Linked DNA regions of Drosophila melanogaster. The gene in region 1 interacts genetically with each later gene. Each region holds a gene or a part of one and is shown on either strand. Other genes may lie near its edges.

Region 1 (7,636 bases):
GTGCCGCTTCATCAGCTCCGGGGGACTCAAATCCGTGCCTTTGGTGTCCAGGCAGCGACTGAGGAACTGCTTCACCATACGTTCGCTGGCAAACTGCTGCAGGTCGTTCATATCGATCTGCCAACAGATGCTCTGTTCCATCGTCAATGTTTGGGCCAGCATGCTCTTCAGCCTGTCCGGGTCCTCCAAGTGGGAAAGGCAGCCCGTTCGCTTCTTAATATCAATCGGTGCACTCATCTCCAGCGCCTTTTCCAGCTGATCCCAGTTGCGCGATCGCTCGAAGCACACTGGCCAATAGTTCTCGTCGTCCACCACCACCTGCTGCAGGGTGCTCAGCACTGGCAGGATGCAGGGAGCGATGGGCAGGCGGCGCAGCTCGGTGGCACCCACCTCCAACACGGATATGTTGGCCAGGCACAGCTTATTGGTGTCAATGTCCCGGGGAAGGAACAGGCGCGGTTCCACAGCCAGTACATAGAGATGTCTCAGCGCTTGCAGATGGTATCTTAAAATGTAAATCCATGCGGTGAAGTGTGCTAACACATTGCTGCAAATATATTAATCCTTACCGATTGTCGTTGCTGTGTATGGGAAACTTGGGGAAGAAGGCGCAGACCAGTGCAGCAATCGACTCCGGTGTCTGGGAAATGGTGAAGCGACCCGCGCCGAGGAATAGCAGGCCAAGCGACATGTGTATGGCCATGTGAGAGCCGTAGGTTATGTGCGGATATTGTGGTCCCACTCGCGACCTGAGAAACCGAATTATGCGAAGAATTTCGCAGTTGCCGGAGCCGGCGAACACCAACGAGATCGAGATGAGCAGCACCATCAGGCAGCTCTCCACAGTGGTGCGACCGGCACATTCGCCCATCGGCCTGCTGGGGAAGCGAAGGAAATCCTTTATCACCGACCGCAGCGTGGCAAAGGCCACCAGATTCTCAGTGCCGGCGTACTTGAGACCAATGCAGAAGGCAGCTCCAGCCATGATATTGCAATAGGCTTGCCTGGACAAGAGTATATAATTCGTATCTAATTACTTTGACATTCAACTTCAGTTACTCACGAGATGGCCTCGTAGTCCACGTCATAGTCCTCGGGTGCATACTCATTTTCGTAGAACGGGAGTTTTAGGTGAGCTCGGAGTGCTCGCGGAAACTGTGCCTGGAACCACGCGTTGTCCGGCCGGACATCCTGCCATAGGATGAGGCCCCGGGAAATTGTGCGCAGCAGAAGGAAGTCAGGCCGCACCATGTCCAGTAGATACCGCGAATCCGGCGGCTGCATCCATTCGGCAATAGCTGCGTTCCCCGAGTTGAAGAACATAAGTCCCAATGCGAGCGTTGCACCCGGAGCAGTGACATCTATGTTGACGGTATCGCCTTCACGAACTTGGAACGAGGCTAGTCGGTATTTCTCCTTCTGGGAACCGCCGATGGGTCTCTTCACTCCACCGACCATGTAGTAGTGCAGGGTATCCGGCAGTTGGAGGTCCCTTAGGCCCGCCGGCGATTCACCCTGACCGAGGGTAACCAATCCGAGGGATAGACCTGCTGTCATGGCATACGATTCGCGCTCAATGCTGTTCTCCATCTCAGGGCCTGGAGGACGGCCAATCTCCTGGAGCAGCACCTCGGCTATGTGGCGCTTAGCTGATCCTTGATAGAGCAAACCGACGCCCATTATAGCAGCCACCTGTGTGCTTTGCGGTATATCCAACTCCATGGCGGTGGCTGGCAGCAGTGCCTCCAAGTGAACGCTCAACAACTTTGTGGTTTTCGTATCCATGGTGCCGCGATGGGCAGCGGAAATGCCCAGCAGCAGACCAACGTTGGTCATCTCATCGCATTTAACCAAATACTTATAGACACTCATGAAGGACAGCGTCTTTAGGTGACCATTCAAGCCCAGGGCCATGAGGAAACCAGCGTGCTCCAGGGCATTATGCGAATGCGTTTTGGGCTTGTTGTAGACAATCCAATTGGAGTCTATGTCCTGAGCCTGGGGTGAGATCTTCAGGCCAGTGGCCACGCCATTGTGAAACGATGGCCACATTTGCATATTCGCTGGGAATTCGATCTGCTGCATTTCGATGGTGGTGCCCTTCAGCGGCTCCTTGCCCAACAGGCACAATTTGGGCATGGTCAAGCTTTCGCTGGGCCGCGGCAACATCGTTCTCAGGGTGAACATACCTCTGCCCACGGGCAGTGTCATTGTGCGCGAACATAGTGCAAACAGTTGCTTCTCCTGCTCCTCAATGAATTCGTGATCGCTGGTTCCCGGTGCCTGTTGCACTTCAATGACCACCGGTTCCGAGCTGTTAAGCAGACGGCGCACTTCATCCACCCGCATGTCATCGGGAAAACGCAGACGCAGTAGTTTTGTGTCCATGTTGTCCATGTCGTCGCGGCGCAATTGGGCCGGTGAATCAGTTTCTGATCCCCCGGTCGGCGGACACCTCGCTGACAGTGAATCTTCCTTGTAGACCCGGCCACAATGCGGTTGCCCAGTGCTCGTTTCGAGGAACGGCAGTTGAGCGTGGGCCGCCAATTCTGGACGCAGGATAAGTTCATAGGTGGCCATGCTGCAGCCCATGGGCGGCGAGAGGCGAGCCTCCTCCAGTGCCTCCGCTACAATCAGATGCACTGCCGCCGGGAATCTTTCAATGTCTCGCCGTGTCAAGCGCATGGCCAGAAGTAGCTGTAACATCTGATGGCTACGCGGAGCATCCGCCGTGATATTACGCTTAGAGCGCCGCGTAAAGTTGGCCTGAACGGCGCCGGGGATCTCAAGCAGCTGCCACCAGTAATTCAGACGCTCATGCCCATGAGTCACCAGCGATACGAGCTGCAGTAAAATGCGACTTCTCTCGTTAACGCACTCCAAGAAGGTGTAAGGCATCACCTCCTCCTCGCCGACAATAATGTGCTCGAGTTGGGCAAACACACTGGGTGCCGGAACCCTCAGAAGCTCCTGGTGCAGCATCATAGCTCCGTGCTCAGCTCCCAGCAACGAGAGCTTGCCCGTACGATTCGAGAGTTCCGGAAAGTCTAGTATGTAGTGCAGCACATAACTTTCCAGCTGCATATCGATGGCCAGCTGGTGTAGGAACTGGAACGAGGAGATGGTGTTAGAAAACCACTAATGGATCTATTAAATGATTCACCTACCGTTGCCAGATATGGAAGCGCTCCATAAAAGTCAGCGTCCAGTTTGAGATCCTCGTACAGTAAATGCAGGCTGAAGAAGATGGCGGGAATCATTCGGAAGAGCAGCGCACCGATGTTCACGCTGTAGCTGTGGCCATCGGCTCCGCAGGGAGCCAGTGTCGTCTGGAGCAGCAGGAACTCCCAGTCGTCGTCCGTGAAATCATCGCAATCATTGTATATTCGCCGTTTCTTCGGCTCATCCTGGCCACCCAGTGTAGAATTGGAACTGCAACTAGAACCGTCACTCGATTCCGTCGCAGTAGCGCCGCCTCCAAATTGAGTGTGCAGCGGTGGCGTGGCACATCTAGCGTAGTTCTCGCCCGCATCCACATCCGGTGCAGCAGTCAGACCCATTAGGGCGAGCAGTGTGGAGCGGAATAGCAGCCATTCCTGCTCTATGGAGTAATTCCTCGATCCCGGCGGATTCCTGTCGCTATACCAACGGATAACAAAGTCCAGGAACTGGGTCGGACTTAGAACCTGCCGTAGCGTAGCCACACATCTGGTGAGCAATCGTGTATCATTTAGAAATGGCAGCGCTATTCTGAGCATTCTGCCCGTGGCATAAACCAAAGTCAATCGATTTCCCGCCGGATCTCTCAGGGATTTGCAGACATTGTGCGCCTGCCGCTGTGTGTAGGACACCGGCTGCGGTTGGATGGGCGACAGCATGTGCAGCTCCTCTTCGAAGGCAGCCACATCCCCCGGCGCTTTTGTGGGCAGTAGGCTGCTCCTTCGCACCTCCACGAAAGAACTGCTGCCGGACGGAATGCCGCTTGCTGGTCCAGCAGCTGCCATTGGTGTTTTAACGTGAGACGGAGCGGGCGAAGCCGACGGAGATGGGGCAGCAGTCATGGGCGTTACCAGCGGTGTGGGAATGGAGGTAGGCGCCAAAAACGGCGTAATGTGCACCTTGGATATGAGCACGGTGCCTGTGTATAGAAGTAAGCTGCCACTCGGATCGAGAACGGCAATCATGTGCATTCTCTTCAGACCCACTGCATCTTTCGCGGCCAGCGTGGAGGCGTGCGTGGAGAGCTGCACCTCGCCCCTTCCATAGCCAGTGAGGCGGACCAACTGAAGGCGGCACGAGCGGGCCAGCAGGTAGCACAAAAAGGTCTGACCCACTAAATCCGTGTGGATAAATGCTCGGGTGGCCATCTCGCAGAACTCTCGTTGACTAAGGAAGACAGACAATTTTAGTACTGAAAGTGGCATCTTTGGTGGCATTTACTGACGTTCCGTAGATGTTCTCCGTCCAGATGTGCTCCATACACAATTCCGGCTCAATGGGTTTTGCCGGCTTCACGTGCGTTAACTTGCGCATATCCTTCACGGACATGGACTGCTGGCTAATACTGCTCTGCAGTTGGCTCAATGGAGTGCCTAGGGAGGCGCGACTAAACGGAAGAAGAGGCAATAATAAGTAAGTGATGGATGACAGCGACTTAAACGTACTTCGACTGTCCAAGAACTCCGCTGAACGACTGCGACTGGCTGAGTCCGAACTGGTTGCCCATGCCGGTGGTGGTGGTGTTGATATTCCTGGCCGCAAACGATAAGTTCGTTGCTTTTGGCGTGGCTAGCAATGGATAGACAGTGAATAAATCGTATGCCCTTGCTGGCATTGCTATCAACTCACCTCCAGTTTGCTTGGTGGAACTGAAACTATTGCCTGCCATCGACCTGGGTCCCATTAGCGTCTGTCCCAGCTCCATCTGCTGACTCACATAGTTGATCTCTTCGGGCGTTACCTTACGCAGGCGTGCAACGAAATGCTTAAAGAACTTGGCATCGTACAGCATCACCAAATCCGATTCCTCGGTGGTGAAGACCACAGTGTATTCCGGTTCGGTCATGTAGCCGGTGGAGCCGGTGGCCGTCTTCAGGACGACGGGACAGGCCTCGTGCAGCGGATGCGACATAGAGAAGAGACGCGGCATCGGAATGGACATGTGCGATATCAAGGCATTGCTGGAGTCCTTTTCCAGCAGCAGGCCATACTTGGTTTGCCACAGCTGTGACACGGGAAAGTCCAGATTGGCTAGAAAGTCCTCGCCGTTGCTGCAGTACACCCGCAGGGCGTCCTGATCCATCACACAGATGGCGGTCAAATGGTCGTCATCCGGGTGGACAGCCGCCTTCAGCTGCGCCAGTCGCCCGCGCACAAAACTGCGATTCAGGAAGCAGGCGAAGCGCACCGGCGTATCGGTGGTGAAACACATGCGCCGGTACACCCCATTGTCGGTATCGTCGTCATCGTTGACGCCTTGTGTCCACACCACCGTGTTCCGGTTCACATAGAGCTCCTCCTCGTTGTTAACCATATAGTCGCACATTGGCTCCACGCGCCGCACCAGCGGTGGATTGAGCAGTCTGTTCGGCAGCGAGGTGGCCTGGAGACCACATCGCTTTGTCCGCTCGGTCAACTTGCGTCGCAGGGCGGCGCGCTCCTCGGATGCCTCGTAGTCATCGTACAGCTCTCGGACTGTCCACGACTCCTGTCCGCCCGAAGGGCAGTCCTCACCGGCCGACGAGATGTTCACATTCTGGAGGCGCTGCAGCAGCAGATGCTCCGTGGTGGGCAGTTGGTGGCGCGCCATTGGCTGGTCATGTGGGCCCGGATGCTCCGCGGACGTCTGACGGCCGCGCGGCACAAACTCCAGCGGCGGTTCTGCGACGGCGATCATGTCCGCGTCGCCAGGTGCATCCAGAATTGCGATTGACAAGTTAATTGATTACAATTTATTATTAGCAAGGAATTTGCACAATTATTTAAAAACTGTCATCGAAATCGGGTGGCGATAAGTGCCTGATTCTATCGGGCCTGCAGTACTTCGATATGAGGAGAGCTATCAAAAGGCCGATAACGATAGGAAGACCAGAATCGCGACAAACAAAACAATTACCAGTATATGCCATAAAGTCATACCGAAAGAAATGCTAGAGAAATGGCTTTGCCTATTTTTAAAAATATAAAATATAACAGTTCGATTGCTTTTACTATCGATTACAATGCCGGTTGGTCACTTGTAGCAACCAGCTTTGGTCCGCTGGCGTACCGGTTATTTTCCCGGTCTGGCAGCACAGTGCGTTTGTTCGGCTTTTCCAATTGGATTTCGGAGTCTGGATTTTGATTTGAGCAGACAAACGGAACCGGAAATCCTGGCCAGAATTTGGCAATGAGCAGCGGCACCGCCGGCTGCAAGCGCGCGCACAGCATCGAGGTTGAGCAGCCGCTGACGTCGGAGCGCCTGGAGCACAGCCTGCTGTTGGTCAAGGGACGCCTGGTGCCCAAGTGTTCCACGGCGCGTCAACTGAAGGCGATCCTCGATCTGCCCGAGCACCTGTCCCAGGAGCAGCTCACCCAGCTGTCGGCCGGCGGCGAGTTTAAGCTCCTATTCGACTTGGAACAAGCGAATCGCGAGGAGGAGGAGGAGGAGAGCGCCTGCCTCCTGGAGTTGCGATCCTGCACGGCCACCCGAACGATTAGCTTCAGTTACCGGCCCCGCCGCAGCTCCTACCGGGTGCAGCCGCTCTACCTGCTCTGTCAGGACGAGGAGAAGACGCTGGCGCAGCAGCACGAGGTGCACTCCCTCATCGATCTTAATTTGCGGCTGGTGCAGTCCATCTACGCGCACAAACTGCACGCGGCGGGCTTTCCCAACCGCACCTTCACGCTCAACGGCAAGTGCTGCGCCTTCCGCAGCCAGTTGACCCGGAAACAGGCGCTGGCGAAGAGCGAGGACGAGCTGTGGCAGCATTTCGCCGGCGAGATTATCGCCTGTCCGCAGTGGGGCCACCAGTTGCTCCTCAAGTTCGTCGCCTTTGTGGGCTGCACGCGCTACGACGGCGACGCAGTGGTGGCCAGCGGTGACTCCTCGTACGCCAACATCCGGCGGCATCTCAAGGGACACGCAGCACTCGGTGGCGGCGGCTTGGCGCTCTTTGGTAGTGCCCACTTCTACGCGTGGCCCACGAGCTTCGCGGAGATCGGCGACTGTGTGCGCAGCGCCCAGCGGGTGGACATCGCCCGCCTGCCGGACGAGAGCAACTATCGGCGGACGTACGGCGGCGTCTATGCCAGCACCTTGGGCGCCGTGTGCCACGAACTGGGCCACTGCTTCGATCTGGGCCACACCAGCGAGGGTGTGATGGGCCAGGGCTTCGACTACTTGAATCGCGTGTTGACCGTGGACCAGCCCACGGAGCATTTGCCGCAGCGAATTGTGGACGCCCGCAGGGGCTCACTTGCCAATACTAATTCATCCGAGGGCGGATCATCCTCATCCAGCTCCACCTCCTCCTCCTCCTCGTCCGCCGGCAGTGGCGCCGCAACGGGCAACCGCGCCCGCCTCACCAAACTGAAATTGCAGCCAAGCAGCCAACTGCTGGACAACTACCACAACCAGCGACGCCACGATAGCTTC
Region 2 (7,911 bases), on another chromosome or scaffold:
CTTATAACTAAAACTACATAATGTTACATGGAAACACTAAACTAATATACAATTTGGCCATGACAGCGGCTCAAAACACTTAAAACTTATAAAACAAATTCACGTTCGATTTAGTATTAATATCCGGCTGCTGGTGCTCATCCTCTTTCTGCTTGCAATTGTAAGCCTCACAGAGCTGATCGAAGTCGTCCTTGCTCATCTCAACGGATTCCATCATAGCCACCTTCTTGTAACTGTTAAGAAATACATTTGGTCAACACGGGCTCATTCTTCGGCTATCTAGTGTTTGCGACTTACGTGTCTCTATTGTACTTTTCCCGCATGGCCTGCGTGTTGAGCTCCTTTGCCGTTTTGTGGGTGTGACACAGATGCAACACAACCGTTTTTAGGTCCTCCAGCTTGTAAGTCGTGATCTCCTCCAGCCTTGGCGTCCACATCTCCATGCCCAAAATGTGACGCGCCAGTGCGACTGAAGCGGATGACATAAGTGATGGCAAATATTGCAAGTACGTTTCTCCCTCCATGAGCGACAACTCGGAAATATACTGTGTCAGGTAAACATTAAGTTAAGTTTCGGCTTTGTTTCTTTTTTCTTTTGTATTGGCAATAGCTTACCAGCGTCATGTACTTCAGCTTCTCAGGCATGTCGCAAAGTACAGCATAGGTGTTGATGAAGACGTAAGCAGTCGGTGTGCACAGATCGAAGGAGAGAATCTTCAAGATAACCTGCTCCATGCGTAGCACCTGCGCCTTGGTGTAACTGTCGTCGGTGAGGAAGACAAACTCACCGACCTCTGGGGGATAGATTTCCTCGTATTTTCTGAAAAATAAAAAAATAAACCCCATGAATACACACACCATTATTACCGGACTATCAAGAATACTTACGCGGCAATATACATAGCTGCCGTGCCCACCAGCTGTAACTTGGAGCGCACCACCGCCATTTGGCTCAAAAATCGATCTAGATAAAAGACCGAGAGATAGAGCGTCTCCGTGTCCAGTTTGTACTCCTCGGAAACCTCAACCAGCCAATCAATAAGGATGGAGCGCATATTGTGGCTAATGTCCTTCTGTCTGCGCATATAGAGTGGCTTGGGGCGATGTTTCTTCTGGAAGATGCAAACACATGCAAACAAATGATTAGAAACCGATTAGATTACCCGGCCTAACAAAAATTACTAAGCCAAACTTTTAATACTTTAGGTTAGGATTCGCATATATATAGCTTATGCCTTTTCTACACTCTAATCTGGCAACCAACTACCCGTTCCCAGTTTCATCTTAAGAAGGTGTCAAAAATGTACAAATTTCACGGGAGAAAAAGCCGTACAGTCATCAAATCAAGCGTATAAATACCATAGGAGAAGTGGCAAACAACAGCTGGGGGAGGGAGTTAACCGATTTTTATTTATTTATTGGTTATTTCGTAGTACGTGAGTCGCATCGAAATTCCCAGTTCGAACTTAAATTTCTTTGCCAAACACCTACATATATGTACATATATATGGGCAATATGTACATTAGGTGATTATTTTATGGTCGCTTTAACGATTATTGGAACCGTCAAGCGACTCGAGCTGCAAAAATTAAAGAATTCGATTGACATGAATATATGTACATACATCAGCATTTGTTTTATATTAAGGCAGTTAACTCCCATGAAATTATTATAGATATATGTAAATAGTCTGTAACTAGTAGGTTACAGAGGTAGTAGTAGAGGCAAACAATAAACAAAGCACCCAGCAACCGGGCAAACAAAGTCAACTCAGGCATATATCCACATCCTACTAACAAGAAGAGACAGACATATCGACCTCGAATACAGTTGAACATCTTTTATAACTAACTCCGGCACAATGACGCTCAAAATCGGTATATGCACCAAGCAGGATCTCGACGAGGCGATGAAGCTGCAGAAGCGGGAGCAGTACGAAGATGAGCGGAAGCGGCGCATTTTTAATGCCAAACAGCGTCTTTACGGGGTAAGTATGCATCTGCAGACTGGGTGAGCTTCATTGCCGAATATTCCTATTCACAGCTCGACCTAGAAATGCTGGATCGCCAAATACTTGAGAAAAAGAAGCAGCGAACCGCCCAGATGGAGTGCGACAAGAAATTTGAAGAACAGGAGCAGCTGCAGAAGCGTCTGATCCTGGCCCAGGAAATGGAGTTGGAGAAAAAACAGCGTGTGGTGGACTCGGATCTTAACTATTATCGCTGCCGCTATCAGCGCAAGGAGCAGCGCCGCGAATTCGACCTAAATGATCCGAATTTCTTGAAGAAGGCACGTCCAACAAGAGTCGCCGACAATGACATTTCGCTGGGCGTGTCCAGTGCCCAGATCTTTCAAGGCGAGGACCTCTATAACTCTGACAGAAAGCAGCGGCAGCGGGAGCAGCAAAGAGCCTGGCTGGATCAGCAAGTGCAGGAGCGTAAGAGGGCGGAGGATGCTCGCAAGCAGGCCGATAATGTGTTGATGGACAACGTTGGTTGCAGAGACAAGCATCTGCAGGAGATGGCCAAGTCTGATCACCAGATGCGCAACCAAGTCATCCAGCGAGTGCGTCAGTTCAATATCAACATGGCCAAGCAGAAGCAATTGGACCGCGAAAGGGAAAAGCGTGAAAAGTACGAGGATGACATGGCCGAGATCTATAACATGCTCTCCAGCGATATGCTAACTGAAAATCCGGATGTGGCTCAATCGCGCACCGATCCGAACAAGAAGATTGCCTTCATGTATCGCGGCATGACGCCCGAAGAACTTCGCGTGTTTCGTCTTGGACAAGATCAGCAGCTTCGTTTGTCTATTCAGCGCAAGACGGAGGCCCAGATGATGGACAAACAGTGGGAGCAATACTCCATTAATATGGACCGCACCCTGGTCCTTCACCAAATCGAGGATGATCGCCGACGTAAGGCGGAATTCGATGAGCTGATGCGGGCGAATTCCAAGTTGGCCGTGGAGCAGGATCGCCAGCGCAAGGAAGCCCTTGTGGGCCTAACCAATGCCGTCTCCGATGACTTTTACGATCAGTTCAACAAGAACTCACGTTAGTGGGATTGTATTGAAGTTCCCAACCAAGACGATTCGAGAATAATGAGCTGGATGCGATTAGAAAGCTGCCTCACTTTCTTGTGCAGCAACTTTCCATAGGCGTCCAGAACATTGTACTATTTTAAAAATACAATCTTTGTTGGGAATCTTCACGACGAAATTATAATGTTCATGTTGGAAACAAAGCATTTCAAATATTTAAAAATTTAAAAAAAAAAAAAGACAAAAACCCATCTCTAGTAAAAACTGAAATATCAAGGGAAAATAAAGAATACGCCCATTCTGGACAAAACCTAATCCTTGTGTTGTTGTTTTGTATTATTTAATGTTGTTTTCGAGTTTTGTAATTTAACTATCGATTTTAAAATATTTTTAAATTTTTTTTATTTGTTTTGGTTTTCTAGTTTTTTAAATTCTTTATCAATTTTAAAACTTTTTTGGTTTTAATTTTTTTTTTAGTTTTTAAACTTATTTTAATTTTTAATCTTTTATTTACTAACGTAGGAAACAAACTACAATAGTAGTCAACCTCCCTCTGCAAGTCGAATTCCATTGGTACCCCGAGTGTTCTACGACTTTGGACGAATGAGAAAAAGAGAGTCAACAACAACGACAAAGGATGAGACGGACGCAGACAGACAAGCGTTTCGCTTCCCGCCCAACAAACATGTGCCCGCGAGCGGGAATAAGTGTACCCATGAACCCATAAAGAGGCAGCGTTGCGTGAAGGGAATGCCAACGGAGGGTGCGACAGGGTCCGACTTCCCCTAAGAAATTACGTCTGCCTGCGTCTGCACAGAAAAGTACAATGCACATGGCCAAGTAAGTAGTAACACATTGAAAACGCAAGATACCTTGGGAAAAAATTCCAAATTTATGCCAGAAAACATGACTGCAATACCCTGGAAGATAATCAAGGAAAACTCGACCTGATAAAAGTTGTCCACTTCAGTTACTAGTTAAAAAATATCATTGTCTTTGACAATGATTACGCGATGAAAGCGAGTTTGTGAGTTTGAAATATTTTTGTGAGGAAGTCATCTAATAATATCATATTGAAGCCTATGTTTATGTCCCTGGTTTAGCTTACCTCGCTCTCCCGGAAATATTCCAGAATGTCCATCTGGTACTGAACCACTTCCAGGAACCGCTGGCGATCGTTGCGCGGCGGAAGCTCCTTGACTCTTCCAGTTGGCGAGACTCCCGTTTCAGTGCCCACGCTGATATCACTGGACTGTATGACACCGAGAATGGAGCGGTCCACGGACATGGGGGACTGAACATCCGTCACGGACATGGGTGTTGAATCCAGATCGTAGTCTACCAGCTCCTTCTGCCCAGCACCGCTGAATGGAGTGAAAAAAAAAACAAACAAAAGTTTGTTTGCGGCTTACCAAGTGACAGATGGAAACTTACAATTTCACGTCATGGTTCTCTTTGTCGACTAGGGAGGCCAGGGATTTGCCGGATGGCGCAACCTGGGTATCGTTGTTGTCCTCATACACGGAGAAGGTCTTGAATTGCTCCACCACGGGCACCACATTCGATTTCTTGGCGCCGTACTCCACATTCTCATCAACATTAAGATTTCTGACGTCACGGAAGACCTGCTGGAAGGAACAGAAGACGAAGAAGACAAATTCAACAATATGGTCAACTTACTATATTAGGTAATAATTTTATATTAGGTAATATTGCAGTGGGATTATAAAAGTAAAAACACAAAGATAATTCCTTTTACATATGCATCCTTAATATAGTAAGCAAAAAAGAAATAAAATGATTATCCCCCCCCATAAATCGATCCAACTTTAAGTTGCGCGCCTTTCCCTGGCTTCCCGTATTGCTCGTGTGTGTGTGTATGTGTGCACCTATACGCATGTGTGCGTTGCATGTCGCAATTGCTTTTGCCCTCCTTGCTTCGCTTTGTTGTTGCAAATCATCAAAAAGGCGCGTAATTGCAAGGCCTGTGTCTTTTTCTAGGTTAGTTAAGGTTCTAGGTTAGGCGCAAGTAAGTGCATTGGTCGTTCTAAGAAGAGAGTAACGTAAGATGGAGAAGTGAAAAGGATGGGATGGTAGGGGAGAGGTAAGGGAGAGAAAACCACCACCACCACTAGGAGATCTCACACATGCGCACGGTCGCAGTGGTGTGACGATCCCACCACCATAAAAATATAAAAAGGCAGCTGCATTGGAATTAGGCACTGGATGTACGGGAAATCGGCAACGGTACTTACAACTTTCCCGGCCGGACGCGGCACATTGTTGTTGCCATTGAGCACGGCGAAATTGGCCCGCGGCGCAAGCGCATTTTTCTCCGCTTTTCCCCCAATTACGGCCAGCGGCTGCTTGGTGTTCTTCACTCCGGCCGGAATCTTAATGCCCGGATTCTCCTTGTTGCTCATGTCTTGGTGGATCTGGAAACTGGCCATGGTGCGCTCTTTCCTACTCCTTTTTTCGCCTTGTAAAATGGAGTCCGATTATGCTCTGCTCTTCCCTTCCTTCTCTCTTTCTCTTAGCGTCGTTGCCTTCTTGCTGTTGTTGTTACTGCTGCTGCCGTTGTTGTTGTTTTGTGCTGCTTTCTTATGCTCGACGCTCACACCGATACGCACACATTCACAGGCTCATATGCTCAACGAAGACGCAGACATGTGTACATTAGGCGCAGGCAAATTTTATCATCGACAAATTGACGCTTGAATTACACGCACACACACAGTTTTGTACAGAATTCATTTGACTTTCAATTTCGTACGGAAGTTTGTGTCACGGCAGCGTTGGAATTAGTTTCCTTGTTTGGCTACGCTCGCACGGACTTAGCTAATATTAAGTATTTTACAAACTCCGTACTTGTTCAGCGGTTCGTGGTTTAAAAGCAATTGCTGGCTTCTTTTGATTTTTTCCCGGTCAACACGTCGTAAATGTTAGAGATGACACTGTCCAGCTATCGATAGGTCGTGGCGTCTATCGACATTTGCCGACAGTGTGGCCATATATGTCAGAAGTTTGTTTTTTAGGACTGGCAACTCCAGCAGTGCGCAAAATTTAAAAATGTGTATAACGTTAATTTTTATTTTTGCCGAAGTCCATTGTTTTTGCATAGTTTTTAAAAATGAGTGCATATTTATTTAGTTCTAAGCTTTAGAGATCAAACCAATAATACATATTAAAGGTTTATAAAAAGGGTTTGGAATAAGTTCTTCATGGGTTTGTAAGCATTGTTTTGAAGTTAATCGAATATATATGTATTATATCCATATATATAATCCATATATTATGTCCACGGTAATCGCTTAAGTTGTTATTACTGTTGCTTTGATTAAGATTAAGAATTCACTGCAAAGCGAACTTGACAAAAATCAATTAAACAACTGTTTATCAAAATATAATTAAATAGAAAGCGTAATGTTTTTGATGAAATGTTTAAATAATCGACGTATTAGGACACTTGGAAAAATGTTTAGGTTACAATTAAAAAAAATGGCTAGGCTTTTGGACTTTCGGTCTCGAGTGGCTCCAAAAATCGTTTCTGTCCCAGAAATAAATCGAAACAGGAAAAAAAACTTTTCCCCTTTTCGAAAGTCCTTTCAAACAAAGTGGCCGCTCGAAGTTTTGAACAAATTATGAACTGCATGCAACAGAAAGTACACAATTAACAACAACCACCGCGTTAAATTTAAGAGCAGCAACTCTCTAATTAACTTTTTAAAGAGCTTTATTTCGGCTACTGCGATTATTATTATTTGGCTGTCAGTGGAAAACCCAAAAAAAGTTAAGCGAAACTTTTTCTTTTCAATACGCCTAACGATGCTACCCATTTATAAAAAATATGTTAGTGTAAATACAAAAGTATATATATTTATCAATTCGGATGACTTTCACGATTAGAAAGATATAACGAAATACGCCATACGTCTTCCCTATGAATTTCTAATGGGAGGGGCTGTGAGATATTTATAGAAAATACAAATATAACATTCATTATAATAAATAATAGGTGAATTTGTTAACAGTTATGGTAATTGTTTTGATTTCTAATCTTCTTAAAAAATATGTATCCTGATTTCTTAACCCTTTTAAGTTTAAGAATATAACAACATAACGTGGTGGCTTAAATATTTGTCATAACTATTAAATATGTATTGTTTTTGACTTAATTCAGCATTGTACATACATGTATGTATGTATGACTCTTGCCACGATTATTTTGTGAACGGAAGAGTATGTTTTCTAGAGCAGCTGCGCCTCCCTAAGAAAATAAAGAAAAGGTGTATCGGATTTTGCATTGTTTTGCACGAGACATTTCGCAACTGCCGGCCTAAAAACTAAATCAGTTAGGAACCCAAAGAAGTACGAACACAATGAGCTAACCAACATTCTGATCCTGCACACAAATGCTGACCTTTGCGATCTCGATGTCCTGGAGACCAGGTAGCAGGACAACCGACTAGCAGTTACACAATTGTATAATATCGTTGGCCCCAGCAGCTCTGGAAATATACATAAAATACCTTACAGGGTCAAATAATAATTACCAATATAGTAAGGCAATATTTGGCGAAAGTCAAACGTTTTTTTATTAACTAACAAAAAATGCTGTTCGTTTGTAATTAATCTAATTCATTAGTATCTTTGTTCATCAATATGGGACTCTTTAAATAGCCGTTAATGAACTGAATGTTCCTCTTGCCCTTCGGAACCGGAAGATTAAGGCTCCAATCAACAGATGATTCGTGCAAATAGATTTTAATTTTTCTGTGACTGTACAAACTTAAAGCTTTTAACACAAATTCAAAGGTGATTTCCCTGGCAAACCGGACACTAAGTACGTTTAAAAGAGCACATTC
Region 3 (4,550 bases), on another chromosome or scaffold:
ATGTGAAGGATCTGGGTCCCCAGATTGGCTGGAAGACCGTTTTCCTGGCCGAGTACGCCGGCCCACTGATTGTATACTTGATTTTCTACTTCCGACCGGAGTTGGTGTACGGCAAAGCTGCCAGTCTGCCGATTTCCCTAACCACCCAGTGAGTTTGTAGAAAGTAGTCTCTGAAGTCTTTCGATTGTCGACCTAATCGACCTCGTCGCTTATGCAAACTAAAACGCAACGGCTCTGCATAATTATCCCCGAACTTTGGATGGTGGTTCACCCAGTAACCCGCTTTCTTTTCTCTTTTGCCCCAGCATTGCCGCCGGCTGCTATACGGTCCACTATGTGAAGCGTCTGCTGGAGACGATTTTCGTGCACCGCTTCTCGCACGCCACCATGCCGCTGAGGAATCTCTTCAAGAACTGCACATACTACTGGGGATTCACCGCCTATGTGTCCTACCACGTGAACCATCCGCAGTTCACCTCGCCCTGCATGTGCACCGTTTGGGGAGCTCTTGGGGCATTCGCTGTATGTATCCGCGGCCATGGTTTATGGATCTGGGTTATATGTTTTCGTAATCTACCGGTTTCCTTTGCTTTTGTTCGAAACATTTGTTTCTTAATACCAAAGGTGTAGCTTTTTGTTAAAATTGGTCAAGCAATTTGTAATGTTATATGTGCTATATATTTGGGATCCATTAATCATATTTGCAGACCCACAAACTAAGCCGCACACTTTTCACTTTCAGCTCTGCGAACTAGGAAACTTTTCGGTGCACATTGCCCTGCGCAACCTGCGTCCGCCGGGAACAAAAGTGCGCAAGATTCCGGTGGCCGATGGAAATCCCCTCACCAAGCTGTTCGAGTAAGTGGTCACTAAAAAAACCCACAGCTCAAGTTTATTAATTCGCGCTCTTCGAACTGCAGCTTGGTTTCTTGCCCCAACTACACCTATGAGATCGGTGCCTGGGTTTCATTCTCTGTGCTGACTTCTTGCCTGGCTGCCTATCTGTTCGCCTTTGCCGGAGCCTTCCAGATGACCATTTGGGCCTTGGCCAAGCATCGCAACTACAAGAAGGAGTTTAAGGACTACCCTCGCCAGCGCCGCTCCATCTTCCCCTTCGTCCTGTAGGTTGGATGTGGGTATCCCCATGACGCATTCGCTGTATTACCTATTCCACATTATACATTTACACATTTGGCTAGCGTTTAACAGGGTAGTTGTCTAGTGAACTTTGTGCTTTCGTTGATTTAAAGCAAATACAAATTGGAGAAGCGTACATTTGGCGTGTTTTCGTCGCTTTTTGGACTTTGATCGATCGTATGGGAAGTTCGACGAAGCGCGTGTAATCAGTAATAGTTTATTTGGGGCTTTCAAAGGTGTGCCAGGTGCTTACCTTGCTAAAAATAAGTGGCCACCTTGGGTCATTTATTTTTAACACTTTTATTTCAGAATGAAACACCTTTTTTATAGCTTTAGTAAACCAATAATGCATTTTTATTGAACAAACATTTTGAAACAACGCGCCATCTGGAGCTGCCACACTGCTGAACTCCGTACCGTTTGGCATCTCCAGCGAAGCTAAGTTGGCTGCGGCTGATGATTTTGTGTTTACATTTTGCCGGCAAATCGAAAATTGGATTTAGAGGCCCTAAATTAACCATGAATCTGTTCGAGGAGCTGGACACCTTGGACCCCTCCTTCAAACTAGAGCCTCCCCGCATCGAGACGCCCACGGCGCACAAGATTACCGTGTTGATATTGCTCAAACAGTATGTGATTGTAGGTGCACCCACTTATTTACTCCGTGAAAACCAACTTCTAACATTTATCAATTTTTAAAGAACAAAAAAAACTGTTTGGATACTGGGATATCCATGCGCACCCAGCGACGGCGCATGTTCTATATGCTGGTATTCAAGCTCATTCAGGAGCAGGACAAGAGTTACAATGAGCTACATAGTTTGTTGACCACGGGGAAATACAAACTGGATACTCTGATGCTGGAATCCTTCGAAAAAGCCATGTCCGAGTTTTGTGCGGGCAGCATTGAGGCTTTGTTTGACTTCTCGGAGATCCAGAACATCGACGAGATCCTAAACGAAAACTACGGCATTAGCCAGTTCAGCATGGTGGGCGTTTATGTGCGCAGAGTGGGCGTGGTGCTAGAGCGCCTCAGTTTCCCTGAGATGATGGATATGTACAAGAACGTATGCTCCTATTACGAGAGAGGAGTTCGAGCTGCTGCCTCTGGTTCAAGAATGGCCGTAGCCGGAGGTATTCTGCATAGGGAGGAGACCCCTCCTCCGAATCCCATAACAGAAAAGCCTGAGGATCCTAAACCTAAGAAGAAAGTGGAGGCCGTAGCTCGTATTGCCCAAGAACGTAATCCCCTGAGCAAATGGGCACCAAAACAGGCCAAGTTTTTCATCAACAAACAGTCGGAACTGTTGGAGAATAACGAGCGTAAGGCTTTGCCTCCTTTGGAACTCCAGAAGAAGGTGCAGGAGATCATACACGACCTCCCACTAACAACTACACCCTATTTCCTGGGCTATATGAATCAATTGAGAGTTAGGGATTACTACAATGCTCTTTCTGCCCTCCACAGAGCATTGGACAGGAGTCCCGTGCGCCTGATGAGCCAGGAGAAGGGCTACCAGTATTTTTGCGTCAATCTGGCGGTACTACATGCCACCTTTGGTCATCGGGATGAAGCGCTAGCAGCGCTCAGGGAAAGCATTATGCTGGCCCAGGAGCACGGCGACAAAAGGAGCCTCAACCTTGCCAACACTTGGTACTGCTTGCTCAGGGATGAGCTTCCCTTGTCCGCTGTTCAAAAGAGTGTGCAGGATGCCAACGAAGTGGATGGTTCCCTGCTGCAGAACTACACCTTAGCCCTACACTTCGCTGTAAAACTAGGAACGGTGGCTGGCTACCAACCACTAAGACTCTTTGATCTCCTGCAGCACAGCGACAATCTCACTAATCGCAACAACTTCGCCGACCACGCATCAGAGGCCCTTGCCTTGAGGAGTGCTGTTTGGTCTGCTTATGGAAGGCATGAGCTAGCTGCTTTGTACTCCCAAGTCCTATTGACAGGCAGAGACAGGTTCGGCAGTGGATCTGCGGGTTTGGGAAGCGCTTTGGCCAGTTTCGCCCTGTGGCTTCAGTTGCAAGGAGAGCCACAACTATCCAAAGTACTCCTACATCATGCTAAACAGCGCTTTCCGCGTTTGCCCAGCGCCGAGGGTTGGATGATAAGCCAGTGTCATGTGGTCATTCAGGCGGGAATCTACCAGTGTCGCTGGCACGATGCTCTGAAGGCTTGCGATCAGCTATATTTGATCGATCCCTCTGACTCCTTATTCCAACGTGCCTCCATATATGTGGCCAAGCGCGAGTTTTTCAATGCCAGGCGCCTCCTGGACAAGTTGGCCGTGCAGGATAACATACCATTCCTCCTTAGGATGAGGGTTCAAGTGTTGCTTGGTTATTGTGGCATGGCGAACGGTCGATTTTCAAGTGAAACAACAATGCTTCTGCTCCGTGTGTCCGAGGAAATGTCCGAGGCCCAGATGGATTATGAGTTAGCTCTGGTGGATCTGCTCTTGGCCCTGCAACTATTGCTACTCGGTATGCCGCAGAAGGCCTATCAGGCAATAAAGCGCTGCATGCACGACATTCACATCAACGGCGGTCTATATGAACGAGCAAAAACGGATTTCGTGTTCGTTCGCTGCCTGTTGGCCGTCAATCAGAATGATGCGGAGAAACGGAAAGCGCAGCTGCTTAAATCGCAAGTAATCCTCCAGCGTGCAGCTCAATCATTCAAGAAACTCTCCGCACATGCGAAGGTTTTGGATGTGTACGTGTTCTTGGCACAGCGATTTAACGAATTTGGCGATCGGAATTTAAGGAATAAGTACGCTGGAGAGTTCCGACGCTACTTTACGGATCACCCCATTCCAAGGGAATATCTGGGTAGTCCTTAGTTTCCGTCTGTTGTTAAATTCTAAATAAACTTGTTCTTACAACCTAAGGAATCTCAATCTTACCTAAAGTTTTTCAATTCACAAGCACACAGCTGAATTATTTTGACTATTAATAAACGTAGTTTTATTAATTGGTTTAAACCGCAGTGGTTGCTTGTTTATACACTGTACGCCAACTGCAATGCTAACACCTATCTGAAGTTTTGCAACGGCTCGTTTCGATTGATGAGGACGTCCTTTTTTTGGGGGCCGGATGTTCATAGAGTGTGGATGCGTAAATGCTGCGCTGTGAAGTGGCATTTAATGGGTGGCTGCTTTATTGGGGGGAATCGCTGGACGTCCTGCACCGCTCGATTTCGACTGGGATTGATTGGTATCGACAAACTTAAGCTAACGTGTGGCAATTTCCGGATTTCCGATGCCGGTTATCGTAGAGCTAATATGCGTATGTGGTAGGGGGTCTCTCATGGTTAACGAATCAAGGGTAAGCTGGGCGACGGCCCTCCAGGACCCATCGCACTGCCGGGTCCAAGAAGCACCTGCTTCTGCTGCGACTTGTGC
Region 4 (5,658 bases), on another chromosome or scaffold:
GACGATCACTGAGCCAGTTCCTCTCAAAGGGCAACTCACGCCATTGGAAGGAGGTGTTGGAGGAGTTTACAGGCGAAACGGAAATGGACCCAGCCGCTCTGCTGGAGTACTTTGAACCGCTCTACCAGTGGCTTAAGCAGGAAAATAGCCGCTTGGGTGTGCCATTGGGCTGGGGACCAACAGACAGTGAGTAATTGAATTTAAACAGTAACTGCTAACTATAATTTACTGTATCCCTTTGCAGAAATCCCATCTGATTGCTGTGGAACGTTTAGCACCTAGACTGAGCCATCCCAAACTTGACTTGAGGTTATTAGAACCCGAAAACAAATATATTGGTTTAGTCTGTCATTAGGAACAAACAAAATAAACTTGATAAGAACGATAATTAATTCACAGCATATGCGCATTGATATTTAAATTGATATTTATTGTATCGATTCATTCGTATCGTTTCGTTTCGTTTTATTAATAAATTGCCATTACATAATACACTTTTTAACGATATCTCACCCACCAACTTTCGTCATAAACAAAATTGTATAAATTATAGCCTTTCGTGAATTGTGTTTCTATCTCAACCACAAAGTTGTATATGTTTCGGTCAGTGTAAATTTTCGATATCTTGCTTGCCTTTTTGTACACAGCAAAAGCGCTCAAAAGTTCATCTCAAATTTATTTGATGCTTCTAACCGTATGCTACTTTGAATAACTCGAATAAAATATGATCTTTAATGGAAGCTGTTGTTGTATACAACACAAAAAGTATAGAATACAATACACTATAAAAAATTATAGGTTACCAAACAGTTCTAAAGGTCTTGCTAAAACGGAAATCAAGTCATGACTTCTAAAATTTTCTGACCATCGAAAATGATAAGCTATTGCTTTCAAGAAAATGTATTTGTTAACTGGTTAACCTTACATTAAATCCTTATAGGTCATATTCCAGCCGAGATATTCAAAGCTTGATCAGTGATTACATTTTGCGACTTGTGCTGCAGTATATTTATGATTTCTGCTTGTATATCGATGCTTTTGTGATCTGGTTGGTATCAAATTTCCGCACATTTTGATTTGTAGTCTCTGTTGGAGGAGTGTGTATATGATAACGAAATAAAGAACAGTCAAATATGATCGTGTGGATTTTAATTCCAATCGTTTAACTTCATAGGGTGATTTAATTTTAGTAGATTATAAGGAATTTGTTTTGAGAAATAAAACAATCTAAGAACTAACAATAAATATTGGAAATTGTATCATTTTTGATTAGGTAATATATGTAAATCTGTTTTCATTTCGCAATCTCCCGCTTTATGCTTGTGATATGGGAGATACCGATGGTATCTACTGCATTTTCATCAATGTAACTGTTACTTGGTAAAAATTGTATATGTATTTAGAATATAAATATTATATGCAATGCGTTCCACATTTACAAGGCAGTTATCCATGATTGCGGAGTAAGATTTTTGAACAAATTGGAAAAATATACAACCGAAACTAGTTTAAAATGGTTTTCTGCTTCGCGGAACATGCAACTGACTTATAGATCTGAAACGCACTGCACAACTGCTCGGGGGATTTGCTCCAATACTTGAGCTTTACATATATATGCCTAGTTTTTTTTGTTGTTGTATTTTTAATGATAGGATTATTGGACTAACAGTAAGATCAGCTAGATTTTGCTTTTGAGATGCAGATACATGTTCGTAATATATAATTTTCCAATCGATACGCCATTACGAAACTAAGTCTTAACAGGGCTATAAAATCAATCCAGATATTCATATGTATAGGCCAAGAGTTTAGTTTTGGTTAGTGCTACATGAGTTGGAACAATTTGATTTAGTTTTTGTTGTTGGATAGTATGCATTCTAACAAAACATTTCAGAGTCAACGCAAATAATATAACTAGATCTATGAATTCGATGCGGAATTTCAAGCATTTTAGATTTATGTTTATACAATTTGAGTAATACATAGATGCATATAAGGATCTTATCCTTTACTACTTAGCGATTATTATTGAATACAAATTTTTTGTGTTTATTATTTAATATTAAACGTGAAAAGTGGTACGCTTACATTCAAAGACATTTTCATCGTTTTGCAAAAAACATTTATAAACCGTTCATATGTTTCGAGATTCAATATCAAGAACGAGGGACCATGGCAAGCTTTATGAGTTGATAGTTGAGTTGATAGAGTGAGTGTTGTGTGTGTGGGATCTTTCTGCACTTGAATTTGAATTGACTCTTGAAGAAATGTCGTCTAATTGACCCTTTCCGAAGTGTTGGCAGCGGCTGCTATGTAAATCTGCTTATGTTCTTGAACTTGGCTTAGTCCAAGAACGGGTTTTGTCATACAGGTCGCGAATGGTGGGTATGTTGGGGATGTTGGTGTGAATGTGGATGCGGCTGGGTGACACTGCTGATGCTGTGGTTACTGCTGCTGGTGCTCGCTCCGCCTCCACCACCGCCGCCCGCCTTTTGCCTTGTGGGTGGCGGCGGTGGCGGTGCCTGTCTCATGCGCTGCTGCAGGATGCGCGGCAACTGTGGATGCGCCTTGTGCTGAGCTGGTGGTGCGGGTGGTGGCGCTGGCCTCTGATGGTAGTGGTTAGCCGATTGCGACTGTTGCTGTTGTTGCTGCTGCACTTGTTGGTGCTTCCCCATCGAGGAGGCAGCGGATGAGGAGCCAGAGGCTCCTGATGTGGAGCTAGTTGAGGCGTGGGAAGTGGTCGAGCCAGTGGCCAGTTTTGTGGGCAGTCCTCCGCTGGCTGCCGGCGAGGCCATGGCCCTGGAATTCACAACTCCCGCACTCCCAGCTCCGGCAGTATCTGTCATCTTAGGCAAGGCTACTGGCGCATAGGAGCCATCGTCCTCTTCGTCGGAGCTCAAGGAATTCGCATCCGATGGAGTACGGGACCTCGAGGGCGGCGACAGTGCGTCCTGCTCTTGCAGGAACACACGGAATCCCTGTATCGACTCGTTTAGCGCCCACAGCTGGGACAGCAGCGACAGATCCAACTGCCTCAGACCGTACATCTCCCGTCGCAGAATGGCCAACTGGTTGTCGATGGTCGACGAGGTGGCTCCAGTGCTGCTCGAGCTGTTAGTGGGTGTGTGAACAGCCCCAGCGCTGTGGGTGCTGGAAGCGCGACTGTGCACAGATTCCCGATCACTGAGCGACTCCTGCGTGGACGAAAGACTACCGTGCCGCTGGCTGTGTCCGTGTCCATTGTAGCTACGATTTCGTGATGCCGCCGACGAGGAGGTGGAGGGGCCCAGGTATAGTTCTCCGGCGGCTACGGTCAGTGCGTTAACACTGGACGCCGGCGAGGCTGTGCGGGGATGGGGGCCAATGGCCACAGGAGCCGCCGTAGCGGCGCTCAGACTTTTTGGCAGTGGCGGCAGACCCGTCAAGTGCGGCTGGGCATCGTTGCTGCTGTTCTCCATCATTTGATAAAGCTTACTATGTCTCTACGGTTTCTTCTTACTGCTGATCCTGATCCTCACGGGTATTTAGTAACTAGAACTATAACGCGGGCTTCTTAATGCACGTTGAACTTCCAGCTCTGGCGGCACATGGGGCACTGTTTGTTCAACGGTTGCAGGTTCAGCCACTTGACGATGCAGTGCATGTGGAAGCAATGAGAGCATACACCCCACACCAGCGGGCAGTCGTCACCGGGCAGAGCGCACTCCGGGCAGGTGCTCTCGAAGGACATGCGACAGATACCGCAGTTCTCGTCATTCGCTATCCAACGCCAAGTTGCAACTCCCGTCCATGACTTGATTGTCACTTTCATTTTGCGCACATTTGTCTCACACGGCAATTGTCTGGTTTGTCGCCGCTTTGCGTTGCACGGAATACGGCTCCTTTGGCCAATGAAGCGGGTGTTTTTCGACCGTTTCCGAATGTTTTTTGCAAAATATTGCCTTTTTTCTTTAGTTAGGCTGCTGAAAATAGGTCGATAGGTCCGATTATCGATTGGCCGATTGGACTTAGAGATGGACGCTGTGTAGATGGAGTTAAGCCGTCGGACAAGCAGTGCGACTTGGGATGACCTGTTATAGTAAACGATATATTTTTATTTATTGTATATTAGTATAGTATTGATTATTGAATATTGTAACAAAGTACATTTGATGTGTTCTTAGTGATATTTATTGATCATAGACATGGGCATTTGTAAGCAGTTCATAGAGCTATCGATTTTATATATACATCTACCGTACTTTAAAAAGATATCGATCCTTGGCGGGAGTATTCAACTTTGGTTTGTTTATAAGAAATCATAGATAAAGTACTATTTGAAACAATCAGGTGAATTAAAAACCTTTCTGCTATAGTTAAAATAAGTCATTCCTTGTCGGATAAGTAATAGTTGAACAGTAGTATTTTCAATATCAAGGCCACGTTCTCGAAGCCGCTGGGCCATCAATTACAATTTTCGGCAATGACAGGTCGGAACCCAGGTCAGATCTTTAATCAGCAATGCGAGCGAATCGTGTCTGAAACAACTTCCGAAAGCTTATGCTCATGCTCCATCGGATTGGACGAGGCTTTAGGGGGGTGCTGCCTTGTGTTGTTTTGTTGTCGGGGGCTGATGGAGTTGTTGTCTCCGGTTTATTCGCATTCAGTTAGCCGACGATTGTTGAACCCGACAGACGTGCGCGCAGCTCGATCGATCGATCGTCGAGCTTTACCCGTTTTTCCCACTGTGTTTTTTCGACAATTTCGCGTGCAAAGCGTGATCATTATTGCTCAAAAATTGCTTTTGTGTTTTGTCCAAGTGTGACGCAGTTTTTAGCAAAGGTTCTGTGGAACTGCGAACGAGATCAGCATATAATAAAAAAAACCCTTGTGAGTGAAAAGAAAGTGCCTGCGAAACGGAGTTGATTTAGAGTTGTGTACTAATCGAAAGGTGCCGCTGCGAAGTGAACGATCTTGTGAGAGTGAAATTAAATCAAAACACAAAAAGTGAAGTTCAACAGCAGAGCGTTGTTTAAGAACCTGTAATTGAAAACGCACTTGAATACACACACCCATACAGGCAAGAATAATATTAAAAATAAGCCCAATAATGCGCCATACAACACGTTGTTGACCCTGAGCCAGAGCCTCGTGATTTTCCAAGAACAAGTAAACACCCCTCACAACCCACCTATACAAAAAAAAAAACCACTCGATGATAGCAATTATTTAGCATAAGAATTTATGTTGCAGTTTATTGAACTCTTTGTGCCGCCTGTTTCTGGAAAAAACCGTTTGCGCCTTGCAGGGAGATTCTGCTACTTGACTTGGTGTTCCGGTTTTTGGTCACGCCCGGGATTTTCTCGAATTCTGCGAATCACTTACATACAGTGTACCAATAAGGCATCCATAAAAAACATGATGTGTTTGTTTGTGAACATCAGTTTTCATTGCAATTGCAATGCGAAATTTCAAATCGATATTTGCGATTTATTTCACTTTGAATTGGCTTGCCTTGTCATGTGCCTCGTCCATAAAATGTGGCTAATAAACAAACAATTATGAAATGACGGATTTTTTAAACTCTTTAGCGCCTTAGATACGAGTCCAAATAAACAATTTGCAACCAGACAACACTTTGAAGCTGTGAATTTGGTTATGACTCATCGAATTATGGCT

Evidence for each region.
Region 2: of shtd (region 1) and CycA, changing one suppresses a phenotype caused by changing the other (phenotypic suppression), as found in Drosophila melanogaster (one study listed by BioGRID).
Region 3: of shtd (region 1) and ida, changing one suppresses a phenotype caused by changing the other (phenotypic suppression), as found in Drosophila melanogaster (one study listed by BioGRID).
Region 4: of shtd (region 1) and lmgA, changing one suppresses a phenotype caused by changing the other (phenotypic suppression), as found in Drosophila melanogaster (one study listed by BioGRID).

The regions. Positions count from the first base shown.
Region 1 is NC_004354.4:15,456,440-15,464,075, forward strand, and holds the start of shtd (shattered), read right to left. Parts: upstream 6,003-7,636; 5' UTR 5,897-6,002; coding exon 4,849-5,896; intron 4,789-4,848; coding exon 4,665-4,788; intron 4,607-4,664; coding exon 4,445-4,606; intron 4,387-4,444; coding exon 3,168-4,386; intron 3,109-3,167; coding exon 1,064-3,108; intron 1,005-1,063; coding exon 570-1,004; intron 506-569; coding exon 1-505. Other genes in the region: CG6294 (uncharacterized protein), read left to right, coding at 6,389-7,636.
Region 2 is NT_037436.4:11,827,573-11,835,483, forward strand, and holds the start of CycA (cyclin A), read right to left. Parts: upstream 6,007-7,911; 5' UTR 5,497-6,006; coding exon 5,302-5,496; intron 4,675-5,301; coding exon 4,481-4,674; intron 4,411-4,480; coding exon 4,155-4,410; intron 3,273-4,154; exon of another isoform or gene 3,065-3,272; coding exon of another isoform or gene 2,045-3,064; intron 1,989-2,044; coding exon of another isoform or gene 1,863-1,988; exon of another isoform or gene 1,677-1,862; intron 1,618-1,676; exon of another isoform or gene 1,458-1,617; intron 1,113-1,457; coding exon 889-1,112; intron 821-888; coding exon 616-820; intron 546-615; coding exon 298-545; intron 234-297; coding exon 80-233; 3' UTR 1-79. Other genes in the region: CG7264 (uncharacterized protein), read left to right, coding at 1,863-1,988, 2,045-3,064; CG43064 (uncharacterized protein), read right to left, coding at 7,675-7,911. UniProt on the Drosophila melanogaster protein: Essential for the control of the cell cycle at the G2/M (mitosis) transition. Interacts with the Cdk1 and Cdk2 protein kinases to form MPF. G2/M cyclins accumulate steadily during G2 and are abruptly destroyed at mitosis.
Region 3 is NT_037436.4:3,903,764-3,908,313, forward strand, and holds ida (imaginal discs arrested), read left to right. Parts: upstream 1-1,580; 5' UTR 1,581-1,593; coding exon 1,594-1,776; intron 1,777-1,838; coding exon 1,839-3,989; 3' UTR 3,990-4,050; downstream 4,051-4,550. Other genes in the region: Sc2, read left to right, coding at 1-148, 306-522, 743-858, 921-1,125; mge (maggie), read right to left, coding at 4,460-4,550.
Region 4 is NT_033779.5:8,524,499-8,530,156, forward strand, and holds lmgA (lemming A), read right to left. Parts: upstream 4,008-5,658; 5' UTR 3,812-4,007; coding exon 3,554-3,811; 3' UTR 3,462-3,553; coding exon of another isoform or gene 2,364-3,461; 3' UTR 501-2,363; downstream 1-500. Other genes in the region: Acer (Angiotensin-converting enzyme-related), read left to right, coding at 1-186, 245-282; lmgB (lemming B), read right to left, coding at 2,364-3,461.